4 linked regions of the Drosophila melanogaster genome follow. The protein of the gene in region 1 binds, or shares a complex with, the protein of each later gene. Each region holds a gene or a part of one and is shown on either strand. Other genes may lie near its edges.

What was found.
Region 2: Nup160 (region 1) and Nup93-1 share a complex: the UniProt entries of both Drosophila melanogaster proteins name them as parts of the nuclear pore complex.
Region 3: Nup160 (region 1) and PCID2 share a complex: the UniProt entries of both Drosophila melanogaster proteins name them as parts of the nuclear pore complex.
Region 4: Nup160 (region 1) and Nup214 share a complex: the UniProt entries of both Drosophila melanogaster proteins name them as parts of the nuclear pore complex.

What each region holds. Positions count from the first base shown.
Region 1 is NT_033779.5:11,122,170-11,129,813, reverse strand, and holds Nup160 (nucleoporin 160kD), read right to left. Parts: upstream 6,038-7,644; 5' UTR 5,936-6,037; coding exon 5,839-5,935; intron 5,775-5,838; coding exon 5,672-5,774; intron 5,619-5,671; coding exon 5,127-5,618; intron 5,070-5,126; coding exon 4,888-5,069; intron 4,815-4,887; coding exon 4,405-4,814; intron 4,332-4,404; coding exon 3,665-4,331; intron 3,600-3,664; coding exon 3,494-3,599; intron 3,426-3,493; coding exon 3,264-3,425; intron 3,209-3,263; coding exon 2,966-3,208; intron 2,911-2,965; coding exon 2,792-2,910; intron 2,737-2,791; coding exon 2,122-2,736; intron 2,057-2,121; coding exon 1,535-2,056; intron 1,479-1,534; coding exon 1,081-1,478; intron 1,008-1,080; coding exon 888-1,007; 3' UTR 824-887; downstream 1-823. Other genes in the region: RfC38 (replication factor C 38kD subunit), read left to right, coding at 1-823; Csl4, read left to right, coding at 6,344-6,502, 6,557-7,012. UniProt on the Drosophila melanogaster protein: Functions as a component of the nuclear pore complex (NPC). Involved in poly(A)+ RNA transport. Required for nuclear import of Mad. May play a role in double strand break DNA repair. Essential for nephrocyte development.
Region 2 is NC_004354.4:13,821,041-13,826,420, reverse strand, and holds Nup93-1 (nucleoporin 93kD-1), read right to left. Parts: upstream 3,596-5,380; 5' UTR 3,495-3,595; coding exon 3,334-3,494; intron 3,271-3,333; coding exon 3,090-3,270; intron 3,011-3,089; coding exon 2,207-3,010; intron 2,134-2,206; coding exon 1,505-2,133; intron 1,421-1,504; coding exon 724-1,420; 3' UTR 511-723; downstream 1-510. Other genes in the region: Clic (chloride intracellular channel), read left to right, coding at 4,413-4,496. UniProt on the Drosophila melanogaster protein: Required for nuclear pore complex assembly, maintenance and function. Required for nuclear import of phosphorylated Mad via importin msk. Has no role in classical nuclear localization signal (cNLS)-dependent nuclear import via importin-beta.
Region 3 is NT_037436.4:11,624,754-11,628,247, reverse strand, and holds PCID2 (PCI domain-containing protein 2), read right to left. Parts: upstream 1,808-3,494; 5' UTR 1,769-1,807; coding exon 581-1,768; 3' UTR 533-580; downstream 1-532. Other genes in the region: CG6083 (uncharacterized protein), read left to right, coding at 2,264-2,332, 2,489-2,631, 2,696-3,397, 3,468-3,494. UniProt on the Drosophila melanogaster protein: Required for the export of nuclear mRNAs and involved in mRNA trafficking in the cytoplasm.
Region 4 is NT_033778.4:22,918,738-22,926,679, reverse strand, and holds Nup214 (nucleoporin 214kD), read left to right. Parts: upstream 1-1,937; 5' UTR 1,938-2,025; coding exon 2,026-2,061; intron 2,062-2,117; coding exon 2,118-2,256; intron 2,257-2,315; coding exon 2,316-4,048; intron 4,049-4,101; coding exon 4,102-4,283; intron 4,284-4,340; coding exon 4,341-4,682; intron 4,683-4,738; coding exon 4,739-5,934; intron 5,935-6,032; coding exon 6,033-7,515; intron 7,516-7,608; coding exon 7,609-7,633; 3' UTR 7,634-7,743; downstream 7,744-7,942. Other genes in the region: ReepA (receptor expression enhancing protein A), read right to left, coding at 1-54; CG30187 (uncharacterized protein), read left to right, coding at 7,908-7,942. UniProt on the Drosophila melanogaster protein: Part of the nuclear pore complex. Serves as a docking site in the receptor-mediated import of substrates across the nuclear pore complex including emb, RanGAP and phosphorylated Mad. Protects mbo/Nup88 from proteasomal degradation at the nuclear pore.

The sequences.
Region 1 (7,644 bases):
GGTGATGACGGTCAGCAGCAACTACCACTTGGAGGTGAATCCCTCCGACGCTGGCATGTACGACCGCACGGTGGTGATCGATCTCATCAAGCAGGTGGCCCAGACGCATCAAATTGAGATTAGTGGCCAACGGGAATTCAAGGTGATTGTAATTTCGGAGGGCGACGAACTCACCAAGGATGCCCAGCACGCCCTGCGCCGTACGATGGAGAAATATGTGGCCACGTGCCGGATAATCATATCGGTGAACTCCACATCTCGGATCATTCCGGCCATACGGTCGCGTTGCCTGGGCATACGGGTGGCGGCTCCCAACGAAACGGAGATCGTGTCCATCTTGCAGAACACTTGCAAGCGGGAGGGACTCGCACTGCCCGTGGAGCTGGCCAAACGGGTTGTGGACAAGTCGGAGCGCAATCTCAGGCGAGCACTTTTGATGCTGGAGGCCGCCAAGGTGGCCAAGGCGCCGTTTACCGCCAATCAGGAGATTCCCGACCTGGACTGGCAGGTGTTCCTGCGTGAGACAGCATCTCAGATTATCAGTGAGCAAACGCCTGCCAAACTGGAGAAGATCCGCGAACGCCTGTACGAGCTACTCACGCAAGGCGTTCCACCTAATCTCATATTCCGCGGCCTGGTCGAACAGCTGGTTAACAATTGTGATATGTCCATCAAGGCAAAGACGCTCGAGTTCGCCACCGAGTACGAGCACCGGATGCAGTCCGGCGCCAAGCACATTTTTCATCTTGAAGCGTTCGTCGCTCAGTTTATGAACATCTATAAAAAGTTCCTTTCTGAGCTGGACATGACGGATGATTTTTAAACGATTTACACGCTTTAGCATTTAATTCAAAAAACTTATTAAATAAACTGATTTAAACGAACTATTAACGTTCTTCCTGAAGATCCGTTCGCATCTGCAGAACGGCCATGCTCATCTTATCATCGGTGGTGCGCTTTATGGTCTCAATATATCTTTGAACTTCTTCTTCGAGTTTAAAGTAAGCCTAAAATAGGAATAGATTTGGAATATGATTGGAATGTATTTTGAGTAGAACGAAATTTATATGTATGACTTACCATTTCATAATCAAGATCATCCTTGCCATTAATCTTTAAACCGTGCAGCAGCAAATCGATCGTGCTGATGGGGAAGCAGAGCTGTGGGTTTGCTATGTTCACCGCGTGTTTGAATTCGAAATACTCGCTACCTGCTCCCAGCATGCCGGCGATTATTTCACATCCCAGATCTGCGGCTTCCAGCAGACGATTGTGTTTCACAAGTAAGTGGAGCAGTTCCCGGGAGTGGGATAACTTGTAGGAGTTTATCAGCCACTGGGGCAAGAAGGCGTTTAACCCGAGAAGCCTTTGAACCACGCTCTTTCTTATCAAGGTGGAGTCTTTTGCCTCGTTATCCACAACCAGTTTTTGAAGTAAAGTCCAGGCCATATCGGCAGCATTACTTCGATGAGGTAGATCTGTTATAAGACATATAGTAAGCCTCTTTTTTTCATACACGTTAAAAAATCCCTACCTGCCATGTCGTTGTTTTGCAGCCAGTTCCAGGCGTCCGACGACTTGTCCTCAGTGGCAGCAACACAAGCGGATGTCAGACTCTCGAATATGGGGAGCACAGAGAACGAGTGTCCCCGCGAAAGTTTCAATGCCGCGGTGTACAGGCCGGAACTAGCCAGCAGGTATGATAGCTCCTCGGGTGTGGCCCGCTCGTAGGCAGCTGTATCTTTGCGGTAGAAGGAAAGCTCACGTAAAGCTTCTGCGTGCACCAGTTCCCTTCGGATATCAGCCAGCTCTAGAACAACCACCTCCTGGCCTCTCTTGTCCTCGTCACATTTGGGCTCACCATCGTCGTTATCCTGATCTATGGTAATCACCTGCTCATCACCAAGAACAGGCTTGGCAATCCATCTGTAGCGGCTGTCAACTAGGTGCAAACAGTTTAGGCAAATTAACAGCGAGGAGCAACGTTTCTCTAGCGCGTTTGGTGCATCGCTGTCTACTTGAAACCGCATGGCCTGCTCATACATAACCGTAGAAGCTGTTCGGAAACAAATTATTAATGCAAGAAGAAATGGAAGAAAATAAAGTAATTTTTATGCAAACCTTTTCTCATGTTACCCTTGTTCGTATGGAATGCATACAAAAAGTTGTAGACTTCGTTCTGATCGATGCTCATTGATCGTGCCCGGGATTCAACAATGCTCTCGAACTCGTCTTGCAACCCGATGTAGGAGAACTGCATAAGCAGTGGCAGACATTTATTCTGGAACAGCGTTATGACCAACTGGCGAAGGCAATCCTTACGCCTTGAAATATCTGCATTGTTGACTAAGGCGGTGTACGCCTCCACGTAGTGTCCCAACTGCAGATGATTATTGAACACTATTGACTGGAACATGGGCAACTGAGGATCATCTGGCTGCAGCACCCTAATGGCCATGTCAGCCAGTTGAATAATGTAGTCCAATGCGGAATGCTGTTCAAAGAGCTGGATAACCTTAAGATAGTAGTGAACAATTGCCAGTTTTGTGTCTTCGGGGGAAATTGTATCGCCACGGCTGACGCTATTCTGTAATTTGCCGTATAGAGGGGTATTTTTCAGTACATGCTCAAAGAGGAAGTCATCCTCCACAATGCCAGACTCCGCCTCGTGAAAGAGATGCACGGCCTTGTGGGCCTCACCGCAATCCAATAGAGATACGGCTAGCATAAAGCGTCCTGCGGAAAAAAAGGATTAATTTCAAAGCTGGGAAAACTAGCAAATAATGCATACTGGCATGTTTTTGTACGGAACACCAGTTTGACAAAATGCGCACGTAATCCTGAACAATGATGTGATGACAGGTCCCAAATAACCATTCCGGAAATACGTAAATCGGAGATCCCGGCCAACTAAGAGATGTTTGAAACTTAAAACATGATCAATTTTTCTATATATTATACGCACAGCATCTTATTGATGTATCCAACAAGTTGGAGCAAAGACTGGCGTAGATTCAATTGCTCCGAGTCCAGCGACAAACTGTCATGCTTCAGCAGCATAGTCAAGGCGCTGAACAGACCTTTCGATTCCAGGAACAGTCGGAGCAGAGTGGTCTGATCGTTCCCATTATGTTTCAGATGGCTGGAGTATGGTCGATTATAGCCGCTGAAAAGTTGGGCGCGGCTCAATCGTTGAATAGATGCCTCGCTAAAATTAAAATAGAAGTTAGAACTGTGCAATACAATCAATTATATATCCTTACAATCCAGCTGGGGTACTCGATGAAATGGGTGTCTCGGCAATCCAAACCAGTGTATAATATGAGTTCAAATAATTTAAATTTGTTAAAACATTTTCGCTTTCCATTTCGTTCTGACCATAAGCCATGTACTGCAATACCAAAAGGTTTCGGCAAACAGAAAACCTAGGGACACATGATTTAATAAATGATAAACCAAGTTCAAAGTTTTTTAAACTATTACGAAAGCTCACCGTATCATTGCCATTTGCTTCACTGTTTCGGACAAAATAGAAAGTCCATATTCGCTACCCATTAGAGCCCCAGACGACTGCAAGAAGCGCGTAGAAAGGGAGTAATCTATAAAGTAGAAATGAAATATATGAATCATTTTCAAACATTATATATATTTATAAGTAATTTACCATGCGGCGGTTCATCTGGATCAATCATACACAGCACATCGAGCAGCATTTCCAAAGCGGGTTCAAGATTTGGTATATTCTGCAGCTTCTGTTGGATTTGCCTCACACAGTTTGATGGCAATATTGGACCATTATCATCGATCATACTGATTCTAGCCACCAGCTTAGATATTACTTCAACCGGTGACTCCCGCTGGTAAAGCTGTTTATCTAGCTCGATTTTAATGTCCTCCGAAATTAGTTTATCAAGCAGTGTCACCACATTCATGAGCTCCACAAAACCCTTGGCCATTTCGGGATCGTTGCGAAATAGTGGCGCCACATATGTCGCCACTTCATCGTTATGCTCGCCGATGAGCAACAGGTGCTCGAGCACTTCGCAGGGGCGCAGCAATGCGAATGATTGCCTTCTAACCAAACATACTGCATCCATTCCACCAAGAACGGCGAGTCCTGTCGGCTCGGAAAGCTTAATGTGATACTGTTCGCAGCAGGAGTAAAAGCGATCCCACAGCCGAGTGGATATCTCCAAGTACTCCTCATCGGTGACCACAAAGTCTTTCAGTTCGTTTTGGATTTCATCTTCCACGGCCTGGCATACCTGCTCCTTGAGCACTGACATGGAAAGTTGCTTTACATCGAATTGCAGGTTAACGCGTCTGAACATCTACGATACAAAAAATTCAAATTACTAAACTATTCCAATAATTCATAATAAAGAATGTTTTGGTTATACTCACATATAAAGCCTTGGCAATTACATTTCGGTCAAATCGACCAGGATGAAATATATAGCTGCAGTAAGTTTCGCGTGGATCCACTCCCTGCTCCATGGTGAGACAATACCGATCCGGTGGCGGTTCTAGAGCAGCCGAAACCCATTTGATTGCGTTGTTGGAGGCAAAATATGCTGCCGAGACATGGAAATCGCCTTCAGCGTTGCTCCAAAGGGCCCAGATGTGCGAGGATGTGGCATCGAAGTCGACCAAATCCGTTTGCGGCGCCGGCACCATGTTCTGCACCAAATTGATAACGCTGGCATCGTCGGCATCGGGCATTATGCTAACGCATATAAACTCAGCTCGGGAATTGTGCGAGAGAAATAGACAGAAGTTTTGATCGCTTATTTTTCGGAGCTGGCTGTTTTGTGCTGTTAAAAAAAAGAATATAATCCCATTATATCTAGATCATAAATCTAAATCGTAATAATATTTTATACTCACGTCCTTGAGCTGCTGAGTCCTGTCCCAGTTCGGTGGAGCAGTTAATGCTGGCTACAGTCTGCAAGTTATCCACTGACCATAGACGCAGCTCATTATTGCGATACAGAACCAGAATGAAAATTTCCCCCCCGATTTCACTGAAAGCCATGGACGTGGCTGCCTCCAACGTTTCAGAGCGGCCGCTACAATGATTAATGAAACATTAGGGATTTGCCATTTATCGAGGTTTATCCACTTACGTGAGGGCACCCTTGAGATTCGACAGAAACCATGGCATTAGCTTCGGCTCCTTGATTTCGTGGGTGATAGTATGGCCGGTGGAGCATTTCATAACGTGAAGCAGTAGTTTGCTCTGATACGCCACCGCAAAGTAGGCTGACTGGGAGTCTTGAGTGAGGTACGATACAGCCGCGTTGGGCATAGTTCCAAAGCCATCCGTGACATAGTAAGTGCTGGGATCATTGATCTTGTCATTGACGTCGTAGAAAATGGACTGGGATAGCAGATCCTCTGGAGAAGCTGCGCCACCTTCCTGCCCAGCGACCTTCAAGGGAAACACATAGCGATGCACACTGCTGACCGTGACCACCAGCAGGGTGACGGATGTACCTTGCTCCGTGAGTGATACATTCAGCACAGCGGAGTCGGTGAATCGCAGACGCAGGTGATTCCTCTGCAGGGAGATGTCCAAACTAACCTCTGATAGTTCCAGGACATCCTGGTATGTCCGCCTGCAAATCAGTGGCCATGTGAAACTAATTTAACGATTCTGATTTGCACTTACCAATATATGAAACGGTTTCTGGTCTGAACATTTTTCGTATTCTTGTAGCAATAGCCGCCGGAGGTTTCGAAGGTTTTTAAATCCTGCAAAGTGCTCTGGGTTCCTACATTTTGCGGAGGAGCATTTGGTTACTCAGAATTTCTCTGGCAATCTTGCACGAAACTCACCCGTGTTAATTTTCACCTCGATCCACTCCGCCGGACTGAGGTTCCGCGGTATGACCTCGCGGTAGCTCATGTTGGCTTGCAGTTTGGATGTGGGCATCTTGCTAGCACAACAAATTAATATAAAAACCTCAACGAAAACGGAAAATTATTGGCGGCACCGGCGTAAACACGCTCAGTAGTAGTGTTGGAAAACGCTTACGCCAGCGGTGCACACCAGGCAAAATAGTCGACATAGCTTTTTATACTCACATACAAAAGTTAATTACAGAAGTTAGTTAAAAATTGTACATTTTCCTAAATGTAATTTCATGACAATAAAGTTTATTATAGCAAAGCAGGAATGATATAAGATGCCTTTAAATCTTGTGATATTAAGAAAGTTGTCGCTAGCATTTTAACAATTGCCACATATTGGTCACACTGCATTGCACGTGTGTTTCCATTTGTTGATGCGGCTTTATTATTTAGTTTATTTTTTAAAATAAAAACTGTCTCTGGCCTAAAAATGAGTGAACAGCAGGATGAGACTGTAGTCTGCCTGCCCGGGGAGCGACTCTGCAGAACCGAGGACAGCATAGTCCTGGGCATAGGCACCTACGAGCAGAATGGCTACATTTACGCCTCCAAGTCTGGAATTGTCAACATCGAAGATTCGGGTGATAAAGTAAGTAATCCTGGCATTTCGTTGACTCTGGGAACCAATTAATCTCCATTTCAGTGCCAGGTGGTTAGTGTGCATAAGCCCGGATTTCATCTAACCATCCCAGCCACCGGAGACGTGGTCACAGCCAGAGTTCTCGTCACAACTCCAAAATTCGCCAAGTGCGCCATTTTCTGCGTACGAAATGTGCTGCTGGAAAGCAGCTACCGCGGACTTCTGCGCAAGGAGGATGTCCGGGAGACCGAAAAAGATCGCGTCGATATCTACAAGTCCTTCCGGCCGGGCGATGTCATCCTGGCGAGGGTCATTAACCAACTGGAGCAGTCCTTCCTCCTGACCACCGCCGAAAATGAACTCGGCGTGGTCATCGCCTATGCCAGTGATTACCGGAAGACCCGGGTGCCCATGGTGCCGGTCGGCTGGAGCGAGATGCAGTGCCCCCAGACCACGATCAAGGAGCCACGGAAAGTGGCTAAAGTTCTGCCTGAGAGTTCAATAAATGCTGTGAAATAAGGTCAATCGCATGTTAATCAGAAGCTTAAATTCATTTGTGGAACTAAAAATGTTTTAGTAAGTGATTATTAGCCAAATAATTATATGTCTTGGCAACCAGAGGACGCTGAATATGGATACAGGTTTATGTTAGCATTTTATTTCCATAGCAACGTTGATAAGTAGCTATTTGACAGTTTACATTATTTCAAATCATTAAATAAATCTATAATTAAGTTGTAAAAGTTCAAAACAAGCTGGTTTCCATAGTTTAGCTTTTATGATTGATACGTATCTTATATTTGTTATTTATTCATGATTGGTTTGTTATAATGATTCAACAAGAGATTAGAATTTAATATTGGATCGTCATGCAATTGCTGTTTTTAAAAGTATCTCTATAGATTCGAAAGTCATGGGAATAGATTAAAGAAATTGTGCGGTAATTTGTTCTAGCAACTTAACAAAACATATTTTATGTTTAAAATAATTCATAAACACAAGGTAATCTAAATATATGCAGGCACATGCACTTTATAGGTTGGCAACATAAAAACTTTTAGGGTAAACGACAGGTACTTATTCCAAGTAATCCGAATTTCAATAACATGCAATTGCACGTGTTCCCAAAAAAAAAAATATATAATCATAAA
Region 2 (5,380 bases), on another chromosome or scaffold:
CGACCTTCGACTGAGTGGCGCACAAAACCAGAACAAACTATCGCAATCAACTTATTCCAATTAACAATATTATCTTAAATAGACAGAAGTGAAAACAAATGCATTTATACGAAACGAGGGCCAAGCTAATGGCTTTTTTTTTTCTTCATTTTTATGGCAGTGTACTAGGATCTCGAAACGGATCTGTTAGAAACTATGTAATGGATTCCTAAAATCTCCGACAGTTGGCAGCCATTGTTGGCAATACTATTTTGATACAAGTATATTGATGTGTTCTTCATATGTATGTCCTGGGGTGTTCCTGAGACCTCTTGAGGTTTCAATGCAATAGCAAACGGTGTCTCAAATTATGCAATAAAATACTTAATACTTCTTATCTGAAAGTCTTTTGTGGATATTCCAGTGGGTTAGTGGCTTGTTGTGATACATACCATACATTCGGTTATTAAGTAGCGAAAATGCAAAATTTTAATTGTTTGCCTAAACCGTGAGTAATTAACATATACGTGTGACATTTTGAATTTTGTTTAGTTTTCTTATAACACATACATACAAAATATTTTCTTTTAAATTTTTCGAATGCTTAATGCTTTAAATGCGTTGCGCTTAACAGAAAAATTCCAATAAAATTATTGGAAAGAAAAAAATATAATCATCAATAAAATTTTAAACGAACTGAATGAAATGCATATAAACGATAACTAGGTATTAATCTGGCTAATGTTAGTGCATAAGGATCTCCAGCTGGACGAGCCGCTGGTTGGTGGTCGATGGCATTCGGTATGGAACGCTGGCAGCCATGTTGGTGAATGCCTTGGCCCTGTCTCGCAAATGTTTCACGGCGGGCTCCTTATTGACGCACTTGCTTTCATCAAAGAAACCGGAAGCTGTTTCATTCGAGTCCATTAGCTTCACATACTCCTGGTATACAATGTCCATGGACGCCAGCAGGATATCGGGCAGCACTTTAATGACCTCGGGACCCATCCGCTTTATGTTCGTCACACACTCGTCCACTTCCAATGAGCTGGCGGGTATCAGATGATTGTTGGTCAGGATTTCTAATGCCGAACGCAATGCGCCTTCGTGATAGTGGTCAAAGAACTTCATGACCTTTGTCAGCACCGTATATGTGACAACAACTTGAACCTCTACGTCCGATTTACGCACGACCAGCGCCGCATCTAGTCGATTGATAATATCGCCCAGCCGGTTACGCACGCTTCCATTCTGCGTTGGTTGGTGGACCACCTGTGCCAGTAGCGAGTTCACCAAACGCAGTGCCTTGTCCAGCTGGCCACCAATAAAGTAGAGCTCGATGGCCAATTCGTAGTCGCCGCGTTTCGACAACTCATCGCCCACCATTTCGGCCAGAGAGTACTTATCGCATTCATGAATTTGAAATTCCGCATATATGCCGCTAAATAAAGGGGAATGAATAAACCATTAGCTATTTGCCAAAAGGATTTTGAAATCTTTTAAGAGTACCAAAAACGTAACATACCCATAGCGCAAGCCGTTTTTCTTATCCTCCGTCCCGAAAATCAGCTCTAGCATTTCGTCGTCGCATTTCTCAACTAGCAGATCGCAGACGCAGGTGAGCATCACGTTGCCGCGTCCGTTCTCGGATTTAAAGTTGCGCAACAGGTAATAGTAATGCAGCGCCTGCGTGGTGTCCGTTCTCTCAAAGCACTTGGTGTACATGACGATCAGACGCACAAGATTGAGTCGTTTCATTGGTTTTGGGTCGTCAGGGTCGGAGCTCAGAAGGGATTGTTCCACGGAACGTGGTGTTCCCAGCATGGATATCTCGTTTAGGGCAATGGCCATGTGGATAGCGTGCGTTCGATTTTTCTCGGTGCGGGCGAGGAATTCAATGGCGGCCTCAAATTGGCCGGTAAGCGTCAGCACCTGGAAGTATAGCGCCGCCTTCTCGCGCGCATTGAAGTAGTTCTCGCCGTACTTTTCTAAAATGAGCGATTGCAGGCCGCTGAACGTTAGCTGCTCCGTGTTGCTGTCGCTTTGGTCCGACCTGCGCAGAATGGACAGTTGCATCCACAGGAAGTCGTCGATGCTGCGCATTAGTTCTACGTGAGTGAAGTGCGGATCACACGCCAACAATACGACGTATACCTAATGGAAAAGAGAAAAACATATGATTAGCACGAATATACGCAACAAGTTGTAGCAAAAGATGAGCACTCACCGCCTTTTTGTAGGGATCCGTACAGGCGCGCAGTCTACTGTTGTACTCCAACTTTAGCTGACCCTCAAGCTTTACCATCAAGTTGTCCCTATCGCCGTTCTTTCGCAACGTCAATAGCGTAAGCAGGTCGGGGCAGGTTCCCGATTCCTTGAGATACAACGCAGCCGCGTCCATATCGCCACTCCGCAAGCTATAGTAAACATGTGGCCACAATGGCTGGCCATTGTTCACGTCATGCAGCCCGTAGAGGGCTCGCTGCCCCTGGAGAGTAACGCCCACATAGGAGCGGACCATATGGTACACGCTGGGGATTCCTCCCCGCCGCGCTTTGGCCAAATTCGCGACGATAAACTTTCTCATATACGTCCTATATCTGCGCTCCAAGTACGTGCGGGCCTGCTCAACGAATTGCGGTGATGTCTGACGATTCTTGATTGGATCGATGGTGCTCGAGACTGGCGGCAACGCGGTCATAAACTGCAATACATTCCACATCTCGGCTACGGACTCATCGTTGAAGGAGTCTTGGACCACGTGGGCAAGGGTCGACAGCAAGTTAGGGCGTCTGCCCAGGATGATCGACTGGTTGTGGATGGCGATCTGTTCAGCGTACATCTGCTCATGGCCATTCAGTTGGGAGTACGGAGTGGGCTCATCAGCCATGGCCGTGGGCACTATCTGAAACTGGACGTCGGGGAAGTCCTGTTGGTTTGGTCCGACCAGAGCGTTTAGCAGCGCTTCCTTCTCCTCGCCCCACTCCGAGTAGATGCAACGCCACTTCTGTCGCTCCACAGATTTAAATATCTGCAATGGATTGGTTAATGGAGATAGAAAGTTCAGAATTTTGGGTGTCTGCCTGAAGCATGTCATTTGGCGCACTCACACTGCGATTCGTCTCATCGATAACTGAGAGTATGGCGTTCTCCCGCTCGTTCTTCAGATAGGCCTGCACATTGGTCTCCGTCACCGGATCAATCGGCTCGAAGGTTTGGCGGGCGCTGAGCGACTCCAGCTTCTGTGTAAGCTTGGGCAGGTCCACGCCCTTAGAGCCGAGCAGTATGTGGCTGCATTTGAATGACCGGTTAATATGACAATTTTTGGCGCCTGGCCTATAGCGAACTACTCACGCCTGCAGATCATTGGTGCCCATTTGGGTGACACGCGAGTGAAACTCCTTGGTTGCCTGCAGAACCTGGGACATGGTCCGTTCCACGCCCGGCACCTCCGTGTCCGTATTGGTCTCGTTCGTCAGGCGCTGGGCCTGCTTCAGCAGTTCCATCAGATCCATGTCGTGATATTGGGATGGAAAAGCCGGTGCCAATAAAATGATATTTCCAACGAAGCGCACACCAAGCTGCTAGTGCTGCCACCTGGTCGCAGTCCGGATTATTTCGGCGCCATAAAATGTTTGCAATCGGTGGTATTCTTTTTGGTATATTTAATAGTACAACTGTTATATGTTAGAATAACTATAATAATGTCTACAGATGGTATATAATTTAAAAGGAATATTTGATAATTAAAATCATTAAATTGAAAAATTTATATAGATAGCAGACTAAGAAATTATTTCTCAATACCTAAAAGTTGTTATAAAAACAAAGAAAATAGTCGATTTCCCCGAACGCGAAATTTCAAAATTTTTATGGAATATCGATATATTGGGGAATAAATTGAGAACAAATGGGAGTTTTGTAGGTATAAGGTATTTTTGGTATTACGCAATCTGTTATTGAAATGTCCCAATAACAACTGTTATTGAGAGGGAGTTGTAAGTACAACTTTAAAAACATTTGGTATTAGCTTGGTATTTATAGGCCGGCCGAAAGGCAGGACCGTCTGGTAACACTGAACAGCAGGCGTTAGTGTATTTCGCGCAGTGCAGATTGGTTTATTCAGCGGCTAACCAATTCAATCGTGAATAGACTTTAGCAGCGCGCAAATCGTAGAACAGAACGGCATATTTTTTTTAAACACTGCGAGGCGAGCTTCTTCTTCCCTCCGTCTCTCTGTGTGTGTGTGAGTGTGCTGCCTGTGTGTGTTACAGCTTGTGTACGTGAGTGTGTGTATTGGCAAAGGAAATTAGCACAACAAAAGCGAAAAGGAAACGAACACGCACGCACCTCGTCACGCGGATAAAGAAAAAAACTCTTCGATCTGATCAGAGATATCGAGAATAAACGATAAAAATAATAACAATATCGCAATGTCGGAAGTTGAATCGCAGCAGAGCCAGGAGACGAACGGCAGCAGTAAATTCGATGTGCCCGAGATAGAATTGATCATAAAGGTGAGCGAACAGCGACATTTGCATACCCCTGCAGTTTTCCATTTCGCTCTGCGCAAATTTCCGTGCAGAGTGAAAATGCAGCCGGGGCAAAAGCAGAAGCAAATGCAAACAAAGGCAAAAACAAGAAGCGACTGGGAAAACGCGAACTGCCGTTTGTTTCTCCTCCTCCTCCCTCTTTTCGGCTTCTTACCCCTGTTCGTTCTTCGTTGTCTTCTTCTTCTTCTTCTCACTGTGGCACTTTGCAGTGTGTCACATTTGGTTAAAACGAACAGAATACGTTTAGCACACACCGCCCCCTCCCCTCTCGCCGACGTTCCCCTTTCGCCTTGCGGTTCCTAAGCATCGCCAAAACCGGTTTTCTCCTTTTCTCCCTATCGCACATTCACACACACATACACACACACATACACACACACGCACGCACACTATCGCATACACATGCATTCGGGCACATCTGCACAGAACGAAATTGTTGATTGAGTTATGATTTTCAGAACTCCATGATTACCATTATAAAGCATCCAAATTAAATATTACAGCATACCTTTTTGGTGCAATACTCTAAAGCCGCCCTTTTTCCAAATTATCCGAGCATACCAAGCTGTTCATATGAAATATCTTTTTAATATTTTATAATTAACAATTAATCATGATATTGCTGTGTGCGCACAGTCTGAAATTTGTGGAACGTAACATATTACTTCGGTTCTTATCTGCTAAAAAATTTAATCACATTTCATTGCGCCAATTGCTCAACAAATGCTCCTTCATCATAGTTCTCCTAAGCCCCCCGCATCGCCCCCCTTCGCAACCATCAGCATGTTTCTCTCTGTGTGTGTGTGTGTGAATTAGAGGTTCTTTTTTATCTTTTAGTGATTTCTAAA
Region 3 (3,494 bases), on another chromosome or scaffold:
TGCGAAAATGACAACACGTCGCCGGCTGAGAAATGGTTACTAGCTAACTAGATCTAATCTTCGCCACTTGTCTTATGTACACTTTGCGCGAATGAGGCTCTAATCATTTACCAGGTAATACCACAAGTATTGTGTTAATTTGTTTAAATTCGCTCAACTACGACAATTCATGCAGCTGCGTTCCAAAAAGTTCAGAGATGAGTGATAGTCGGTGGACCTAGAGATGTGACCGAAACCGATTCCGCTGTCGATACATCGGTTCGAGCACAAAAATCGATATATATCAATTCCAAAGTTCGATTAAGTTTAAAAAGTGGTATTAGTTTAAAACCGTTGAAAAATAAACATATTTATAACCAAAAATTATATTATTAGTTCATAAGTTGATTTGAAACATATAGGTTTCGAAAAACCAAACAAAATTATAACCAAATAGAATTGAAGGTACTTTAAATTCAAAGTCTTCAGGTCTTATACTCATCGTTGGTGCCCTCCATTCACATGCCCCATCCAGTAAACTAATACACTGATTAAATTGGATTCTTTTACTCTTAAAAATTCACAATAATTACAAAATGCACTAAAGGGACACTGAGGGGAATGGATTTTGCTTCGACACGACCAGTTTGTTGTGAGCATGTGAGATGTACCCCTTAATCTTTCCATCGTAAATGAGATTGGCCACGATGCAGTGCGTCTCGTCCAGAGAAACATCGGTTAAGCCAACGAAATGCAAGGCGGAGAGGAAGTCACCCATGTCCAACTGATGCGATTTCCGGATGACGAACACCTTCTTGAACAGGTTGCGATACACGAGGAACTTGAGCTTCTCCACCAGCAGATAGATACCACTCCTGATCAGCACCAGCTCCTGGTCCCTGACAATCTCATCAAAGCGATTCACATTGCCAGCCTTCATGGCCATAGCCAGATCGAGAAACAGCAGGAGATCGTAGCGCTGCAGTAAGGATTTGCTGGGCAGATATCCCAGCAGCATCTTCACTGGCACCAAATAGATGAGGATGAGCCTCTTGTTGCTGGCAAACCGATCCGGGCAGTTGCTAAAGGCATACGACAGATACTGTACGGCTGCCTGGTAGTTGGAGTCGAACATAGCCCGTCTACCTACAAAATACTTGTAGGTAATTTGCTCCGGCAGCGGAAAAGAATCCTTGAAGATGCAATTATCGATGGCACGGATAAGGGGCTTGCACAGATGCAACTTGTTGATTCGAAAATAAATCTTGAATAGCTGGTTTACGAGGTTCATCATGCCCAGACGCTTGGTGTCCTCCTCTGAAGCTCGTCCATCAGCGGCACAAACGCGGAAACAGGCCATTATGCAGTCGGCAGCCTTCTCCAATACGTGGCCAGGTGTGAATCCTTGACAATGCTTCTCGCAGGCCTGCGCCAAGTACCTTAGATCCAGGCACACGCGGTACATTAGTGGCAGGCACCAATTCTCGTCCTTCAGCTGCTGCAAAAGCCTCACAACGGCTCCGCAGGCTGCCGACTGTTGGGTGTAGGCTTCCATGTAACCAGGAGGCTCCTGTGCCAGGTGATACAGCACCTTCAGGTGGGCGGACACAACTTCGTCCAGTGGCGGTTTCAGGAATCGATCCACCAACTTTTCCGGCTGGGCAATGTACAAATTGTGGTTCTGAACGTGCACGTCTCGTAAGGAGAGATACGTGGCCAAGGACTCGCCATCTAAATCCTGGGCGGCGTGCAAAACGCCGGATAAATAGTTATTTACGGTGCCGAACATTGTTTGTGTTTTTCGCAGGCGGCAAAATTAGAGATGGTAGGTCAGGCACTATCTGCGAATGCGATGTTTTCATCGGAAACTTCTATCGATTGTCTTTGTTTTTTATAACGCGATAATACAAAGAATATTTTTTCAAAAGTTTTTTTTTTAACATTTTATTTTATTTTATTAAAAAAAGGTATTTATTTACATTATACTCGGTTTATAAAATAAAACTCTGAACGCAGAAAAAGAGTTTTTTGTTTTAAATTTTAAAATTTCCCTCTGCAGCGAATCGATTATATTCCGCGAAGGTCTTTTGCTTGCCCAAAAGATTCTAAATTTAAACAATTTTCGTACATATAGTTGTGATAGCAGAGCTGTCACAAGACATGCTGTTTCTAGCCAGTTTAATAGGCCTTTGAGTATAGTTCACTTAGTAAATTACAAATTAAAGCTTTCCAAAAACGAAGCCAGTGCAACAACATATTTCACAAGGAGCAAAAGGATTCAAACATGTCGACACCGAATTTTCTCTTGAGCAATGGTAAAAATATGCCTATGTTGGGTCTCGGAACTTGGCGGGTAAGTACTTTTACATAGATATATATTGTTATTAAATAATAGCCAGCTGAAATGTGCATTTCCACTGCATATTTCACGGTCAATGTCAAAGCTCTTCGGGGTCAAGCAAAAGCTTTTGATGCACCTCAGCTTTTTACGTTTTATTCGCCATTTTAGAGCCCGCCGGAAGTGGTGACCCAAGCAGTAAAGGATGCTATTGATATAGGCTATCGCCATTTTGACTGCGCTCATATCTATGGCAATGAGGCGCAAGTGGGAGCTGCTCTCCGGGAGAAAATGGACGAGGGAGTGGTCACACGGTAAGTGCTGCTTTCAGGCCTAATCAATCGTTTATCTAAGCCATAAATACATATTGCACTGCAGAGATGAACTCTTCATCACGAGCAAACTTTGGAACACACACCACAAGCCGGATTTGGTGCGCCCGGCATGTGAGACAAGCATAAGGAACTTGGGAGTCAAGTACCTAAACCTCTACCTGATGCACTGGCCCATGGCCTACAAGTCGGGCAGTGACAACCTATATCCCACGTGTCCGGACACCAATAAGGCCGCATTCGAGGACATCGACTATGTGGACACGTGGCGTGCAATGGAGAATCTGGTGGACGAGGGTCTGTGCCAGGCCATCGGTGTGTCTAACTTCAATGAGCAGCAGATGAATAGACTTCTCAGTGTGGCCAAGCTTAAACCGGTAGTTCTTCAAATCGAGTGCCACCCGTACCTTAGTCAGAAGCCATTGATTACGCTGTGCTATGACAATGCCATTGCTGTGACCGCCTACAGCTGCCTGGGATCGGGACATACGCCCTACGAGAAGCCCGGCGCTTATCCACTGCTCCAGCATCCGACCATCTTGGCTATAGCTGAGAAATACGAAAGGACTGCGGCACAGGTGCTCCTACGCTTTCAGACACAATCGGGTATAATTGTCATCCCAAGATCAGTAAGCAAACAGCACATGTTGGACAACTTTAAGCGAATCTGGGACTTTGAGTTGGCCGTCGATGACATACAGGCCATTAACGAATTGGACTGCAATGGGCGTTTTATGACCATGAAGGCGTAGGTGTTGCTCTTTTCATTTCCTAGGTTTTAACTTGAAATATCTCGAATCTTTCTATTTTTCTCCTAGGGCCTATGGACATCCTCATCATCCATT
Region 4 (7,942 bases), on another chromosome or scaffold:
ATTAGCTGGCCGCTGGTAGAAGAGCGGCGGCTCCTGCTGATAGATTGGCCTCATGGCAACGGGGATGCATTGCCCGCAGCACGGATCGCAGATAGTTCCTGGCCGCTAGAACGCCGAGCAGAGACTGCCGTAGCTCGGCGTCTAACGCTCAGGCGAGAGGTCTATTAATAAACCCACGATCGGGTCTAGAGAGAACCAGCAACAGAGGAGCACTCAATGTTTACACGTAGGAATGCGCCGCAGTTCCGAATGTTGCGACAGAGGCGTTCAAGAAAATAGCACCTCAGTATCAAGATATTTGAATCTTTAATTTGGAAAGGATACTTTAGCGAGTAATGGGAGAAATCGCCTCGATTTAATTCCTTAGATGTAAGAACTATATATCTTGACTATGATGTTAGTTATTGATTTGAACCGATTACTAATTTCATTATCAAAAGTAAAGTCTAGTTCGAAGTTAAGATGTATTGACATAATGGAAAATGCTAACGGAGGTATTGTGTGCTTGAACAAATGAGGTGCTAGCTACTTGGCCGCGACTGTGCCACACTATGGGCAAGCGTCGAGTTGCGATCTATAAATATTGACAACAATAGCGGAGTCACAGAGAGTCGCCGGGTCGCCGACAGGCTATATCCACATGTTCTGCACCCAAATCGGGCGAGGCGAGTGCGTCGGCCTCGGGAACACAGAGACGCAGAAGCTTGGAAAGTTGCAACTCCAAATTAGGAGTTCAATCGAGGGTTACACACACAGGCCGCGCACACTCGCGCACAAGTGAACGGTACTTTGCGACAGCTGATTAATAAACAAACAATCCGGCAATCAGCGAATCGAGGAACCACGGAAATGTATAAAACTTAGAAATCAGAAGCGTGACGCCCACACAATTAGGAAACGACGACGGGCTTCGTAGGTGCTTTTCTCGCTTTCGAAGGCCGAGCTTGAAAAGTTAGTTTTGTTTTTTTTTGGGGGTCAGCAGCTGTAGCGCTCTCACTCGCACTCACACTCACTTGCGGTGGCTATGAAGTCGGGATTTGCTATAGTAGTAATCGGTTATTACTCACATTATAAGCCGCGAAAACAGGCTGCTGATCATCTTGAGCGTCGCCTGGCTGCTCTAGGGGAAAACTGTAGGGTATTTAATTAGAGTCCACTCCGTTATCCTGGCCTCCTTTCCAACCCCAATTTTCACCTGGAATTTCCTTGACTTTTCCGTAAATTATGTGATTTGGGGTACTTTATGGGCAATATCGAAATAAAATCCACAGATTTCTGTTTAAGTCGATTTAAATTTCATTTACTTTTTGGTAACTGCGATTGAATTCGAAGGATTTCGAGATTAATTGGCTACGCAATTTTTAGCACCGTGTTGCGTCGCCTGTGGATAATTGCGAATCGCCAGCTCGACCTCTACTACATGGCTTTGTGCAATCACAGTCGAAACAGCCGATGCTTTGTGCCCTGCTTTGCAAATGCATTCGCATTGCCCGCGAACAAATCGCTTTTGTTTAATTCTCAGCAAACAAAAAGAAACGCTTGTAGGACAGAGACAGACGAACAACAACAAGGCTGCTGCGCTAGCGATGTGCTGAAATTTTCGTTCTCGCACATACTGTCCAAAACAAAATACCGTCTGAAAAAATACCAACAAAGTGCAATTGCCATATGGTCAACCGCTAAGACAAGATTGGTGAATACTTAATTCAAGCTAAGTTGGTTTCTTTTAGTTAACAAGTTCATCAGTTAGTTATAGGAGAAAACTATTTTTATATAAGATTTTATCCCATTTTCTTTTTAAAGGAACATCTATGAAATTTAAATCAGATTGTATTGTATATGTTGTTGGATTTTTTGGTGGTGAGTTTTTGTGGTGAGTTTCCTGAAAGTGACCGTACTGCAAGTGGCGCGCTTTTTGCTTGCCAACGTTTCCAACGATCTCAACTTGCAGCCACACCATCGACTCGATTGGGAAATCGACAAGCCGCAAAAAATTTGGCGAAATAGGAGCGAAAACAGACAAAAATGGCGCAGAATGCACCAGACTGCGAGGACACGCAGGTAAGCACAATTGCATAGCACTGAGATGTCAAACATTCCATTGGTTTTGGTCGCAGGACTTTCAATTCAAACTGCACCACAAGATTGTTGCGTTCAAAAAATGCGGTGAGCCCCGCAGCAATGTGAACCTGCTGGCGGTCTCCAGTAGCCGGGGATTGCTCTTTGCCGGGAGTCCAACGCAGCCGGAACTCAAAGGTAATGTAGCTTGAGTTAGCTAGGCTAAATATATAAATTTATCCTGGCACTCCTTGCAGTGATTATTGTAAAGGATTTGGTCAATGCGAAGAGCACAGCCCAACAGCCGCAGGCGCGTCTGGTGCCACTGCCCAGTATTCCGAATTACATTGCCTGCAGCTCCGATGGCAACCTGCTGGCCGTGAATCACACCCAGAACGGCACCAGCCTGCTCAGCATATATGCGGTGCTATCGTTCATGACCCCTGATGTACGTCCTGTTTATAATATTCGCCTCGCCGCCGAGGATCACGTGCACGGCGTCCAGCTCCTCTGGAATCCCGTGCTGCCCAACAGCCTGGCCGTTGTTTTGAGCAACGGAGCGCTCGCGATGTATGCCCTGAAGGAGGGGGGAAACTTTGAAATGCACTCGCTGGACAAAAATCAACAAGTTAAGTGCGGCTGCTGGTCGCCCAAGGGCAAACAGATCGTTCTTGGTTTTCCCGGCGGCACGGTGAAGCAGTTCAAGCCGGATCTGACTCTGGCCAAGACGCTTTTGTGTCCTCCGAATATACATGATGCCCCCTTTGACACCATTGCTATACAGTGGCTGTCGACTTTCCAGTTTGCAGTGATCTTTCTCCAGCATGGCGAGGACTGTAGCCCCTCGCTTTACATTCTAAATGCTCCCAAGGCTGGTGCGCCCAGCTACATAAACTACTATGACATCTGCTATAGCATGAACGGCCCGAGGAATCATCAGTTCGTATTTAGCCATGTGCCCCAGTGGAATCTGCTGCTCGTAGTCTCGGCCAATGGCGTAGAGGTGGGCATCATGCGGTCAACCGAGGCCGGCGATACACCCGCTTGGCAGCAGCTTACATTGCTGGATGAGGCACGCATTGAAATGCCCCTAAGTGAGGACAAGGATGAGACCTTCCCGCTGGGCTTTGCCTTCGACACTTCTACAACGCACCAGCTGACGATAAATGAGAAGAAGCTGCAGACTATGCCCATGGTTCATGTTTTGAGTTCGGATGGAGAATTGCTCTCGTTCAACTTTCTTAATGTGCTGCCGACGGCGGTGTCTGTTTGTTCGCCACCTCCTCCAGTGGCCGATACTTCTGGGCAGTTCAAGCCGTTGAATATGCTGCTTGCTAGTGAGGAAGAAGAGCAGCCAGCTTGGGCAGCCAGTCCCTCCAAGGCTCCAGCTGCAACTCCTGCTGCTTCCTCGGACATATCCTTTGCATTTACACCGAATACCGTTACTTCAACCCCAGCTCCCTCGAAGGATAAGCAACCATCATTGTTTTCTGGCTTTGGAGCAGCTGCAGCTAAGGCACCTGCTCCGCAACTATCTTTTGGTACTGCTCCGACTTCTAGTCCGGTTTCGTTTGGTGCTCCAACTACCAATGCAGCCAAGCCAACAACACCGTTTGGTGGGTTTGGCACGCAGGCAACGACTACTGCCATGGGAAGCATGTTTTCGGCTTCAGGAGCAAATGCCTTTGGGGGAATGGCATTGAATAAACCGGCTATTGCCAGTGTGACACCCCGAACAGCGGCACCTGGGTCAACAGTACCCGCAACTCCTGCTTCTGCTCCAGCAAACAAACCACTGTACACGGTTCCTTTAACATTCACACCAGTGGACACAAAACCAGCCACTTCAGCTCCTCCACAAATCGCAGATGAAAGTCTTAAGCCTGATGACACTGAGCCTATTATCAAGGACATGATTGCCCTACAAATCGAAGCCTTTAGCAAGGATATCCAAAAGCAAAAGGAACAGACGAAGGAACTCCTCAAAGGCGTAAGTAGTGTTGGTATTACACTGCTTCATGTATTAAAGTTGTTATTCCGCAGATTGCAGCACCATCTGCTTTGAGGGCATACGCAAAGAGACTGGATGACCTCCAAGAGCTCAATGAACAAGCCAAGGATGTGGAGTTCGAGTTAGATGTACAGGGATTGCGACAGGGTCTTAATGAGGCCTATGCCATCGTAGCAGAGTGCCGCGGGAAACTGGAGATTTATAGAAAACCAGAGTGGGTAAAGGACTCTTTGAATATATAAGCTATTTAAAACCCGTAATTTTCGTTTAGGATTACGCGTTTAATGAACTCAAGCTCCTGTGATCCCTCTGGCCGTCGCATGCTAGCTCGTCTTCAGAGCTACGTGGCTGCCAATGAGGCCCAGCTGCGTCTTGCCCAGCAGCATGTCGATTTGCAGTGGGAACAGTTTCAGGATGTTGTGCGGCGCAATTCGAAGTCTCGCATGCACATGCCTTGCCTAGAGGGAATCTATCAACGACTGACAAGACTACAAAATCTAACTTCTAACCAGCGAATTGTACAGAACAACATCAAGTCCAAACTGAAGGAGCGCGGATTGCTTCAGGCCGCACTGCTCGACCAGGAGAAAAGTCGCACCCGCACCAACGAAGCGTTAGTAGAAGTTATTGTGACCTCTCTCTTTATGCGACTATAACTTTTTTATTTAGAGTGGATACATTGACCGACTCCATTCTCACGATGAGTCTTAGCCAGGTAGTGGACTCTAATGCAGCCAAGCTCACTCGAGAAAGACTACAAAAAATCCGTAATATTGTTCAGCTGCAGAAGATCAATGTTATTTGTCCCCAGCGACCAGATCGAGTGGGGCTCAAGTCGGAGGTTATTTTGGAAACGAAACGTAGGGCGGAGCAAATTAAAAGGGCAGCAGCCAAGCCTGCAACAGCCAACAAATACACCCAAGCAGCAGTCGCTCCGCCTTCACCACCAGATGTTGCACCCACGCCAGCTGTTGCACCCATGCCACAAGCAACTGTTACAGTGGCTCCTCCGCTGCCTAAACCAATGCCATCTATACCGTCCGTTGTGGAAAAGCCTGGAGTGCCCACACATCCGACAACTCCAGTGGCTACGCCATTTTCCTTCAGCCAAAGCATCCCATTTGTGAAGACATCTACTGTGACGCCAACGACAAATACTGTGACTCCTGGCGAAGCAGCCAAGCCGGGTTTATCCATTTTCGGCGGCAGTACTATTTCCAGCTTTAGTTTTGGTGGTGGTGCTGCCAAGTCGGCACTCTCATTCGGAACAGGATCGCCAGCCGTGGCAGCTCCTACACCAAAACCAAACCCGTTGTCAGCGGTCGAAAAACCAACACCCGAGCCGACTAAGCCCAAAGAGCAGAAAGCAGCAGAAAGCAAAGAATTCAAGGCGGTACAACCCGAAACAGAAGAGTCAAAAGTACCCCAAAAACCAAAGGCAGAGACGGAAAACAAATCCTTTGGATTTGGAGGATTTACAGGAACTGGAGGTACTGTCGGAAATACTTCCAGCTCCCCGTTCAGCTTTGGCGGACTGGGTTCATCTCTAGGCTTCGGAGGAACAGCCGCTGCTGTGCCAAAATCTGAACCTTCCAGCACAGCAACCACTAGTGTAGCCACATCAGCTTCAACTGCACCATTTGGCATCTTCTCAGCAGCTTTGGCGAAACCATCCAACTCTGAACCGATCACCACGGTCACTAGCAACACAACCACCATCACCAGCAAGCCTACGAATGTAATTGCTTCGAGCAGCGTAACTGATGCTCCTTCCGTCACCACAACAAATGCAGTGACCAGCAGCACGGATCCTATTGGAGGCCTCTTTAGCTCTGTGACTATCTGCAAGCCCAACACTCCTGCAGGTAAGCTATAGTTTCCTTTATCAATATACCTTACGCATAAATGTATACGCTTATTTGGCATAAACTCTAAACGGCTATATATGTCTTTTACTTTGCAGATACCACCAAACCAGCCAACATTTTTGGAGGAGGTTTATCCGCTGGTAGCTTTTCATTTGGCGGAACGATTGATGCCTCAAAGGGATTATTCGGCAGTACCAAACCAGTGGCAACAGCTCCCACAAGTGTGACGGAGGCGAACAACAAAACTGATCCTATTTCAACCACCCCATCAGCCATTTCGACTACTACTGCTACGACGACTGTGTCTAGTCCAGCAGTAGTTCCTGCGGCAGTTACCGCAGCAGTTCCGGCAACATCGAGCACAACGGTAACATCTAGCACTGCTGTTCCCGGCAGTGCGTTCTCCTTCTCAAACGCATTTAGCACCCTAAGTGCGGGAGGTGCTGCAGCTCCAACTACCAGCGCTTCAGCTCCCTTAGCTGCCAAAAGCCCAACCGCTACATCTACAGGCAATAACTCGTCGAATTCAGTGTTTGGTGGTGGCTTCGCAGTAGCAACATCAACAGCGGCTCCAGTGGCTAGTCCCTTTCAGTCAGCTGCAAAAAGTCCAGTTTCGAGTGCAAACATTTTTGGCAGTATACCTAAGGCGGAGACCAGCGTTTTCGGAGGAGCTACAACTGCTCCTTCAAACACCACGGCTGCGGCAACACCAGATGCACCACCAGCGGGTCTCTTTGCATCGGCCGCGATTAGTAACCCTTCGCCGTTTGGTAGTCCCACGACTAGAGCACCAGCCTCTGGCGGTAACATTTTTGGTCAGGCTGTTAAGCCAAGTGTCTTTGGACAACCAGCACAAGCAGGCGATAGCGGAGGATCTATTTTTGGTGGCGGATCCGCCAGTACACCTTTTGGATCCAGCTCAATTTTTGGAGGAGGTAATACGCAGGGCGCAGTCGGCGCTCCGGCTGCAGGAAGTACTTCAATTTTTGGCCAAAAAGTGTTTGGTCAATCATCAGCGGCTGCACCGGCAGCAGGTGGGAATATATTCTCCAATCCCGTCGGCAGTCCGCAAGCTTCTCCTTTTGGTGGCGGAGGAAACTCTATTTTCGGATCACCAGCAACAGCTCCGCCCGCATCTGGCGGATCGATCTTTGGGGGTGGCAGCAGCTCTGGTGGATTTGGCTCCTTCACGCAGACGACACCAGCTCAGGGGGGCTTCGGTGGTGGATTTGGCCAGGGCGGGGGTGGATCTGTGGCCCAGACAGGTTTTGGCTCACCACAAGCCCCGCAGCAGCAAACTACGACACCAGGTGGGTTTGGAGCCAAGCCCGTTTTCGGTGGATCCCCGGCCTTTGGAGCTAGCCCCACTTTTGGGGGAGGTGCCACCTTTGGCAGTCCGAAGGGTTTCGGTGGATTTGGCGGTGCCAGCCCAGTAGCCTCCCCTCCACCCTTTGGTGCTGCTGCAAAGCCGGCACAGGGAAACATTTTTGAAACGTTGGGGGGACAGGAATCGGGACTCTCTTTCGGAAATCTAGCACAGACTGGAAACTCAAATGCACAGAAACCAGCGTTTGGCGGGTAAGTTCGACCGACATACATACATATGCATACTTATATAAGTATTTCCAAGAATGCATACGACTAACGAAATATTAAATTTTACTATTTCAGATCGAGCTTTATGAATTATCGTTGAGTTCATAATAAATGTGTTGCATAACTCAATAGTTTTGCTTGTTCAGTTTTCATGAAATAAGAATACCAGTTAAAATTAAAAATCTTAAATCTTAAATCTTTATTAAAATTAAAAAAAAAAAAACTGTGTTTTTACTTCACGCGAAATGTGTGTACTGAACTTTATTTAGTATTTATAGTCTAGTATGATAAGGGTTTCTTTTTTTATGAAATACTTGCTATGGTATTATGCTCATGCTAAGGTTATCACCTATTTCATTCGAACATCTCATGAGATGCAGACACGTCTGGCTTGGATTCCCGTCATTTT